Arabidopsis thaliana: one gene and its partner. The protein of the gene in region 1 interacts with the protein of each later gene in a pairwise test. Each region holds a gene or a part of one and is shown on either strand. Other genes may lie near its edges.

Region 1 (5,728 bases):
TGTTTGCTAAGAAAATCAGCAACAAGTGTGTGAGGTAATGAACACTTTTTCAAAATGATGTTACCATATATACTATATATATTTGATATAAAGTAACCTTATCCATGTTGGGGACAAGATCTTGTAGCTTCTTTAGCTTCCCACTTATTCTCGTTCTCCTCTCCTATAATATAAACATATTGTATAGGTTAAGATAGGAGGATGGCAAAAAGAATAGGGTCTACATGATTAGGGACGATCAAATTTGTTGCTAAATTTAGTGAATTAATTATCCATCGCTAAATAAATTAAAAAGTGTTTATAACTGACCCGCTCAGCGATGCTTCTAGGATGGGTGGCGCAGCCGCGTTTGGCCCGGATTTTGCAGGGTACAGAATCTTCTGGAAGCTGCATGAAGTTATCCATGTAGTTCATTGAAGTGTCTGAAGGAAGACTATACTGCAAAACCAGTGATAAAAATATTCGGTAAGAATTGGCCACCAACAAAAATGTATGGCCACTAAAGAGTTTTGCTGCATTTACCTTTACTAGTTAATTTTTTTTTTTATGTCTATCCTAAAACAAATATTTTACATTTTTTTGTCCTTTTCTAGAAATTTTGAAATTTCATATAATTTGACTAAAGTAGCATGTTTATAGTAATAACACATGAAGAAAAAAAAAAAGGAATCCCACATGGAAACAAATAAATTGTACCTGCGAAAAGAGACCAGAGTCCATGTCCTTGGATCGTTTACTGGGCCTAGTCACGGTAAACCCTATCGAACCGGAACCGTCATCCCAAGAATCAGTAGTGGCTGCACCAAAGCTAGCCGCAGAAAACGAATGGCCTGAACCGTCGTGGACTGGGGTCTCATTGACCTCGTTGATCCGAGCCAGAGAGTCGTGATTCGTGAAGCTTAGCTGAGACTTCAATCTGGAATGTCCTCGTCCCCCATTAGACCCTCCTTGCGGACTATAATCACTGGTTGGTTGGTTCAACGAGAAATCTGATTTACAAAGTAAACTATATTATAATGACATTACGTGAAAATTATTTTTAAAAATAATTCACATTCACATCCAAAATATTAGAAACCATATAATGTAAGTAAATAAAGAGGGATTTTTGGATAATATGGATAGTTGAATTCCGGTTCAGGCCGGTGACCGGTTAGGTGTGGGAAGTCACATCCAGGCTTGGTGGAAGATATTATGATTAGATAACAACGAAGCAAAGCACGAATCATCAGGACCAAGGAAAAAATAATATAAAAGTGGACAGATCAGATCCACCAACTAGATCTACATCGCTTTCTATTTGAATAATCTTCATCACAACCAATGATATTTCGCCATCTCAGCAGAGAAACTATTGGTCATCAACGAAAAAATCCATCCTCTAAATAAATAAATGCAACTTGAGATATAGGAATCCTCGAAGATTTAAATAATATCCCAAATTAAGGGTAACCGAGCCACATTTTTGCTGTATTTTCAAGCACGTGGTTAGGGATCAAATGGTATTTTCGTCATTCCGAAAATACGAGGATCACGTCTTGCACAAGTACCAACCAAGCTAATTTAGCAACGACCCTAAATATCAAAGCTCACAATGTCAACTTATTTTATATACATAGTCGTTAATTAACTTGTAAGAAACTAGATACTTCACAGTGAGAAATACCGAAAATACCCTCGTGGTTAGATTTTCATTTCACCAAAAAACGGATCTTTAGTTGAGCAATGAATGATTGAATGACTGAAAACTATATAGCTCATATTCTACATTACGATTTTTGGCAAATTCTAAGGAAAAATGGTCTGAAAATGAGTAAACTTGTCTGTCTAAATATATATATCTCATCACAGTTACTATTCTTGAGTAAAAAAAGGACTAACTGTTTTTATCTGAGGCGAGGTAGGTGAAGAAATCGGCGGGAGAGCTACGTTGTCTAGCGAGAGAGTAAGATCCTGAGCTGTTTCCTCCTCCGATGTCGTTGCTCTTGTGTTGTTGCGAGATCTCGTTGAATCCACCGTAGGATCTGTCGAGGAAGATATCTTTATTACTATTATTATTATTGTTATTGCCTAGCTGTTTCTGTCCGTCGGATGAGTTGTTGACTCCACAAGTCGTCGAATCGGATCTCAGCGAGGATGAGTCAGCAGCTCCGGTGAAAAAGTTACCGATGAAGTTATCCGACGACGGTTGATAGCCGGTGAAGTCACGAGCGTTTGATGAGCCTCCTCCGATGACTTCGTCAACCACAGAGTTTAGAAACGATCCCGGAGCTGAGCCGTAACGGATCAGTCCTCCGCCGCCGGGAAGCGATGATCTCTGCGATGATGATGACGTGGAGGATGATGATTGGTACATGACTTCTTCTATCGCCAAATGGAGAGAGAGAAATCTGAAAAGTTTGGTTTCTAAAAGAAAAATAAAAGATGAGAGAGAGATGATGCTTTTGTTTATGGGGTAACAAAAAGTCTTCACTTTTCAGCGATTGGCTATTCGTTGGATGTCACATGTGTCTCACGTGATCTTCCGAAAGATATGGTATTAAATTTAAACCGAAATAAGCCAATCAAAAACCTTTATTAATACTTATTTATTTTGTAACGAGTCAGCTTAACCTTTGGGCTTTGGGGCCGCGAATATGTGGGCTGGGCTTGATAAAAAGATAAGCAACATTTGCGATGTCTTTGATTAAGTTTAAATTTCCCAAGATGTTGAGGTTTTCAGTGGAATGCAATTATTTTTCTCTAGTGTATATAACTCACATTGTTAATTTAAAGATTTCAAGATCACAGAAATGTTAAAGGTAAAAATTAAAATGATTCGATAAAATTCGACTTAATTGCTTAATAGTAAATTGAACAAACATAAATGCTTATATCAAATGCATGGTTCATCAATACTTTTTTGACGCAAACCTTTTTCCGATTGTAATTCAAAATAGTTCTGTTAATTTTTACCTAAACAATTAATATTGTTGTTATTATTATAAATAGAGCCCACAAATATGGACGTTTCCTCTTTCACCAGTTATTTTCAAATTTTCACAATAGTATATGAACTTCCACAAATGGAAAGAAGTAAAATTAAACGAGAACTCATCTTGTCTGAATTATATATCCATAAATTGGTGTGTAAAATGGAGTCGTAATTAAGATGCGTACGGATAATTAGCTACGACTGTGACATGCAAAATAAAATAAACGTTTTTCTGAAGAGTGAAACACATCTGATGCGCATGCAGGAATGATACACACATTGGTCTCCAAACGTACGTGTTTTTCTAGCCCCACCCTTATTGACCCCATGTGATTCGTAAGAAATCGAAGCTGAAATTCAAATTAGTTACTGTTCTAATTGTTATATATGTCTTTATTTTTATTGTCGAATGATGTGATCTGTAACCAAACTTCCAAATTCAAGTTGAATTATTTTCTTTCTTTCTTTTTCAACAAAACCTCTCGTGAACAGAGAATCCACATCGTGAACAAAACCTTTTTTCGGTTTTATGTTATATATAGAATAAGCTAGTGCATATATTTATAGATGAAAGCTTCCAAATGAGAAATTAAAAAGTTAAAAAAAGACCCTCGCATAACACGAGAAGGGACACATTTACAAATAAAAATGGGAAATATAGATAAAGATTGCATGTATTAATTAATATCTCAGTGAGTTTATTAACATTAAACCAAAAAAAAAAAAATATCTCAGTGAAAAAATAAATATAATTTAATATCTCCGTGAGTAATATAAAGACTCCGAAAGAAAAAGAGAGTATATGGAACTATTGCTGACGTTGTCTTTGACAAATAACATAGACAAATTGTATATATATTCGATGATTAAATTTGAGCATATAAATAACTTTATATATGAACTTTGATCATTTAGAACAAAAAATCAAAATATAAATTATACACTGTAACGATGTTGAAGATTTGACAAATGATTCTTATTGTTTTTTTTTTTTTTTTTTGCTAAATATGATTTCTTATTGTTCATTTTTAATCTTACAGGTTATAATGACGTTGAAGTTTTGACAAATGGCTTTGTCTTTGGCCATTATTTATATTTATAATCTAATACGTTGGTACCTCACGTCACTTCTACTATAATAATATACAATAACCAATTAACCATAACAAATTAATAATAGATGTCTGTTTTTATAACTAATAAAACAAAAAAAAATACATCTATCGATTAGGACTAATGGACTATAATATAAAAAGATACACAACAATGCTAATATGTACACGCCTGATATTGGATGATGTCCCTTTTTTTCATTCACAATTTTGAGTTCTTGTACTTCATCAACAGTTGAGAGCTTTAACCTAAAGAAAAGTATTATATTGTGAACTCATAGTAACTAAGAGAAGAAAATAATTATTTTTGTTCACATTGTGATAGATGAGACGCAATAATTTATCTTGGATGTGGAAAATATACTTTTTTGTATTAGGTTTTGCATATACATCTATATATGTACATTTCTTATGCTACGTAAAAGATAGGGCAATAATTATTTTGTCCTATCTTAAAAAAGAATCCAAAATTTTAGCTTGGATCAATCTAGACCTAAAATATATTATAATACAACATATGGTTGGATATAGAACAAAGTAGATATGCCGCATTGGTCGCTGCGTTTGTAAAATGCAACGCTTGACGTCGTCCCTTACTGAACATCAGTTCACTTGTTCTGTTCAAAAACTCGCCGCCAAAATTGTCTTCATTAACCGCCAATTTCGAGCATCTCGGACGGTTTACTAGAGTGATGTAAGTCTCGAGGTCATGGACACAAGAAATGTTTTGAACATCGAAGAAATCGAGGGTGAGTTCGACTCCCACGTGAGTGTAGCAAGAACAGCTCCAAGGAAGCTCGTAAACACCACCTAAAGATCTGAAATTCTCATTAAATAAGAAACCTGGAAGTTTGGTGATCGGATCGTTTACATTCGTGATCCTCAAGACTTTAACTCCTAGCTCCTCACACCGTTTTTTGAACCCCAAGTTACCAACTCTAGGACCAGCAAACGAAAACACGGTCACCGGAACAGGTTTTTCGTCCCTTCTCTGGTTCATACCGAGTTCCGCTATGTCGTAAGCTAGAAGCTGAGCTAGAGAACTCCCCATACTATGTCCCGCAAGTGTTATGCTTATTTCCTCGCCTTTGTGCTTGTTCATAAGCCTCGAGATCTCGGAGAGAAGCTGCTCACGGCAGCTTTCTAGCCCGAATTTGCTCTCGCTCTCACCGGATGTGTATAAACCTAAGAACCCGGATTCGACCTTGACATCAGGACGAGGGTTATGAGGATCAAGCCTAGCCGGAGTCAAAGAGCTCTTTAGGTTAGCTAACCACTCATGGTTGGTGACAGTGCCACGAAACGTCACCAAAATATCCCTCCTTCCCAAACGTTTCACCGATTCATCAGAAGAAACCGCTACATAACCGATCCAACGTGCACGGTTAGGCTCGTTCTTGATAGGGTTGAGGTTGATGTCTGGTGTGGCGTAGATATACTTGGTGACTTGGTAGCCATCAGGGTCATGGATTCCGGATTCTTTAAGCAAGTTCTTTTTTCCATACTTGCAACTCAAGTAACGTTTGGAGTTAGGGTTTAGATCAAACCCTTTGTAAGAAGCGGAGAGTAAGTTCCCGTAGCGAGTGATCTCTTGTTGGAGAATAGGGCTTAGAGGTTCAATGAGATTTTCCCAGTTATTGCT
Region 2 (5,446 bases), on another chromosome or scaffold:
GAAGGTCTCCTGTATCCTCCAGAAAATCCATTCTCATTTCCAGGAGCATCATTGTTCCTGTTGTCCCGGTTGTATCCACCATTACCCCTGCCACGGGAAAATCCACCACGTCCACCAGTCCCACCACGACCTCCTTGAGGAGCATTCCTCGACTCCCTCACTACATTCATAACAAAAAGCTTTCAATATATATACTTATCCTAATCTAACAAAGTATTAAGCTTTACCCTAATCTAACAAAGCAGTAGAGAAACAAAATAAGATACGGAAGAAACTAACAAAGCAGCAAATGAAAAAAGCACACACATTTGACTATGGATCTTTCATGACAACCATAAACAAACTTCACTAGAACTAATCAATCAAACACTAGACAAAACACAGCTGAATCTAAATCTGTTAAGTATCAACATAAAGGAAAGAACTTTTACCTGCTTGAGAAGGAGGAGCCGGCTTGGTTGGGAACTTAGCGGCCTTAGGAGGCTGAACAGCAGCAGCAGCTTTCTCGACTTTCTGAGACAAAGCCACAGCGAGCTGGCTTGGATCCTCAGCATCATCTCCTAGAAGATCGAAAGGGTTCAAAGACGCCATCACCAGTCTGGTAAGATCGAGTTAGGTACAAGTCACAGGAGAAATTGGTTTACTTTGATGGGTTTATAGAGAGGGAAATCAGTAATTCATGGCGATATACAGAATCAGAAAAAAGAGGTACTTGAAGAGAGATTATTCGGACAGAGCTGTTTGTGTTTAAGAGATAGCGAAACAAGAACCCTAAGAAAAGATGCGGCAGTGAGAGAGAGAGGTGCGACTTAAAAACCTAATCTATAAACCCTTCCTGAGTTATTATTCTCTGCGGCGGGTGCTATTTAACTGTGTTCTGGTCCTCTCTTTATCTATCCGTGGGCTACAAACTGGTTAAGCCCATTAACAATAATAAATATCAGCTCTCGTTGGTTAAAGCCCATTAATGAAAAGAATATTCGTTCTTAGTCCATTAAGAGAATAACTGGGTTTCAATACTGAATCCTCTAGGCGAGACACGGTTTTTCTCATTCTAAACCTTTATTGGGTTCAAAGTTTTATGTGCTTCAAAAATCAAAGATATAAATTGATTGCTTAAATGAATTTTCTCTAGCAGAGCCTTTGCTTGTCGACCTTAGACAGCTTCATCTTCTCAAGAGTATCAAACAGAAACATTTACAAGTGATTACACACTTAAGCTCACAACATTTACAACAAAAAAAAATCTAAAATAGATAGGTTATTATTTATTGTCGCGCTACTGTTGATGGATTTTGGTTTTAGTAATTGTTACCTCTTCGATCAAGTTTTGGCTACTTAGCAATATAGAACTCAAATTGAGTTAAGAGATTGTATTAGGGGATATGGTGTAATACTTTAATAAAGCCGTGAATGTCATGTAAGAAATGAAACTAGATTGAAAAATTAACACTCACGGCTTTATTAAAGTGTCTATTTTGTTTATGGATTGAAGATATATGGCTCTGTTTAGTAACTAATTTACATCACGGGAACACTTTTACTTGGTGCCTCAACATTTATAGCAAAACTATTCAACTACAAAACACACAAGATCAAACTTATGAAACCAATAACTCATCAACACGTGTCTCATCACCAACCTCACACTTCACCTGCACCACCTCCGACGTCAGATTCTCTGCTTTTCTCCTTCGTTTCAACTTCCCGTTTTCAGACGACGACGTAGAAGAGGACGACGACGACGACGACGAAGAAGATCTCTTAGACGTGATCCGAACCGGGTCAGGTTCACCGGAATTAACCCTCAACGGAAAATTCAATAAAGCGCGGGAACCACGCATCCTAAAAGCAGCTATATCGTAAGCTAAAGCCGCATCTTCCGCCGTCTCAAACGTCCCTAACCAAACCCTAGCTCCATTCTTCGCCGGATCACGTATCTCCGCCGCGAATTTCCCCCACGGTCTCTGCCTCACTCCTCTGTAATGCTTCGCCTTCACTGCCGTCTCCGTAACCGGTATCGCTTTCTTTGGTTTCTCCTCCATCGCCGTAAAGTTCTCAGTTGGCTCGACTTTAACCGCCGGAAAATCAAAAAGACAGCTCAAGTCCGATGATGACGTGTCAAAATGGAAGGCATCTTTGAGGAGTCCGTACACCAACATGTCCTCTGAATCATTCTCTTTCAATGGCAAACCTCCCCAACTCTCTGTGAAACACGAACTCGGTGTTGACTCATTGAGTCGCAGCTCGTTCTCTCCTCCTCCTCCTAGCAAGTGACGTGTTATCGACTCCAACAAAGCGTAGTCGGATTCTATATTGCACTGTCCGTACATTTTCAGAGAAACTAACTATAGAGTTTTTTTTGTTTTGTTGATTGATTTATCAAATATCTGAACTTTTTTCTATGTGGAAGGTGGTTAAGAGGTTTATATAGAGGGTACGAGGTTCACGAACCTGGAAAAAAAGAAAAAGTTTTTCATGTTTTTCCAAATTTGTTTTAGTTTAGTGGGTAATTAAAAAATATGAAAGTTGTGGATTTTTCGTTACTACGAAGGTTCGTGAATTAAACACGTGCGCTTTATCCACAGATATCACAATGAAGAAGGGTCAAGATGACGTCATGTGGTCATGACATTTCTGGAAGAAAGATGCTGATTTGGTTTTGTCTCTCAACTTGTCCCTTGTTTTGTCGTTCGGTTTTGAATACGATTCCCGGTTTTATTAGGCAAAACTAGTGTTTAATTAGTTTGTTAATCGAAAACCAAGGTCTTAATTCATTATACTTTGTTATATCGACATAAATTTTCAACTAAACTTATATTTCATCGCCTTACACTAGAGTAATAATTTTTGCTTAAGTATACTTTATTAGATAGTATTGGCAAGTATATTATATGTTTAATTACATGAAATCTAAGCTTAGATCTTGTTATGGTGGTGAATGAAAAATCTTAACGAGGTGGGCCATAATTATATGAATGGGGACACTGAAAGTGTCTGCAAAAATCGGGATACATTTCTCCTGGTCACCAACCAATTCATATCATCATCTTTCCCTTTCACCTTTCATTTTTACTAATTTCTAATTTAGAATTTTCCTAATTGCCAATGTCATGTTTATTTTAGTACTTTTTGATACAAGATTTCATGATTAAGAAATTCATTAGTGCCACTTTAGTCAATAAATATGGAGTAGTGAAATCATAGTGATAAAGTTTTCATGCAAAGCTCAATTTACAAACCACAGTTTAATCCATATTTGTTGCATTTCTTTTCTTTCTTTTTTGAAAATATAACAGCCTTAGATCTTTTTGTACACCAATGATTTGGAATTTTGTGGATAATTATTGAATTTCCATCTCTTTCTATTGGCTAAAAGTCAATAACAACAATAAGGCTCAAAGACAAATTAATGGTGGGTCTCTCACGTATGTCCACTTGCAAAAGGGACCTCCTTCACGGAAGCATAGTTTAGTCAATAGTCACTCAAACTCTCTAAAAATTAGTTTACTATATATTTTTAATCTATATTCGATTCCAAGAGTAGTTTTGGTTCAAACACATCATTCTGGTCAGATGGTTATTTCAATTTTGCTGTTTTTGAGTGTATATATGATGTTATGTTTGTAAACAAATGAAACTTTTAATTGATTACAAGAACATGAATAGCTCTAAATATGATTAAAAACGAATTTATTTATTTCTTTGGTAAAAGAATAATGATAATATACTTATGGATCCAATCAGGTTAAGTTCCGTTTTGCAATTAAATACTTTGATTAATTAAATATGAAAGTAGTAGTTGAACTTTCGTTTTTATGTTTGAACTCCGCAGCTAATCCTCAAATTATCTCTTTGGACGTTTCACATACATCCACTTTTGCTGTATCTTAGGAATATATTGTTTTCATATTGTTTCTTGTTTCTTTATGATTTGGGTTTATATAATTTTCAAATGTCATGATGATCATCATTTAATCTTAGTTGTTTTAGTCACATCTTATTATGCTTATTATTAGTCGGTGATAGTTTAATTTTAAGACGTAAATCATCTATTCTCATATTATGCTAGAACAAACTTTTTCTTTGTGCAACCTCCTAGAACATATAGTCGCCTATTATCCATGGATCCCAGATACTCCTCCAAGACCACCGAAAGGTTTAATTATGGATAGGAACCCTTTGGTCTACGTTAACACCTTGATTGACTTCCAGACGAAGAGGTGGAAAGTAGATCGTCTACGGGAGTTGTTCCCCCCCCCCCCCCCCCGAGGATATTACTTTGATTTTAGGGATAAAACCGAGGCTAAATGTCTCGCGAGATGGATATAGTTGGACATTGACTAAGTTCGGTAATTATACTGTCAAGACAAGATATGAAGCTGCGAGAGCCCTCTCTCGCCCGTCTTGCGACCACCCTCTTCAGGGACCTAGTGTTACGGCACTAAAGGCGCAAGCGTGGAAATTAAAAACTACACGAAAGCTAAAGCATTTTGTGTAGCAATGTGTGTCAGAGTGTTTAGCAACTTGTCAACGCCTATATTTTCGCCATATTGGTAGAGATAAAAAATGTCCTAGATGTGGGGCGGATGAAGAAACCATCAATCATTTAATATTTGAATGTCCCCCGGCAAGACAAGTCTGGGCGCTATCCGGTATTCCCTCCTCTCCATCTAGGTTTCTTTCGTCTTCTATATACAATAATCTCGATTATCTGTATTGGAGAGCGAATGAGATTGGAGCTTGTGAGGAGAGCTTACGGGTCTTTCCATGGATAATGTGGTATATTTGGAAAGCGCGAAACCGAAAAAATTTCGAAAGTATTTGCGTGCAACCTCAAGACACTTTAGACTTAGCAATACATGAGGAAGAAGTATGGAGGCGAGCCAATAGGAGAGAAGAGCAACCAGAAGGTACCAAGCCAAGTTTGGAAGGGCAACATATAGATATGGCTTCCCCAATCTGCTTCATTGATGGGTCTTGGCATATAACTGATTCGCGGAGCGGTCATGGGTGGATTTTGACCCGTGGGGAAAGATTGCTTCATTTAGGATTGAAGGGTTCACGTCGTTGTTTATCACCGCTTCATGCAGAACTAGACACATTAGTTTGGGCTTTAAAGTGCTTAGTAGACTTATCAATCAAGGAAGTCCTTGTTAAGACGGATTGCTCTGATCTTCTCACTATGGTTAATACGCCGGAGGAGTGGCCCATTTTTGCATCAGAGTTAAAAGATTTCGAGTATTTTAAGAATCAACTTGTATCTTTTAATATTATGCATGTTCCCCGTACTAGTAATATCCGAGCAGATTATCTTGCGAAATGTGCAAGAACTCGCGGATTCTATTTTTCCCATGTAAGTTCAACGGTTCTCGATTGGCTCTCTTTAAACGAGAGCGCTTATCCATAGAATAATATATAGAGTTTTAACCCGGAAAAAAAAAAT

The links. Proteins that work in one complex are often made in the same cells at the same time.
Region 2: the proteins of AT1G05805 (region 1) and ERF2 interact in a two-hybrid assay, tested with the Arabidopsis thaliana proteins (one large-scale study listed by BioGRID).

Annotation. Positions count from the first base shown.
Region 1 is NC_003070.9:1,741,471-1,747,198, reverse strand, and holds the start of AT1G05805 (basic helix-loop-helix (bHLH) DNA-binding superfamily protein), read right to left. Parts: upstream 2,756-5,728; 5' UTR 2,357-2,755; coding exon 1,882-2,356; intron 990-1,881; coding exon 697-989; intron 439-696; coding exon 310-438; intron 164-309; coding exon 98-163; intron 7-97; coding exon 1-6. Other genes in the region: DGL (alpha/beta-Hydrolases superfamily protein), read right to left, coding at 4,580-5,728.
Region 2 is NC_003076.8:19,170,422-19,175,867, forward strand, and holds ERF2 (ethylene responsive element binding factor 2), read right to left. Parts: upstream 2,536-5,446; 5' UTR 2,334-2,535; coding exon 1,602-2,333; 3' UTR 1,222-1,601; downstream 1-1,221. Other genes in the region: AT5G47210 (Hyaluronan / mRNA binding family), read right to left, coding at 1-160, 432-591.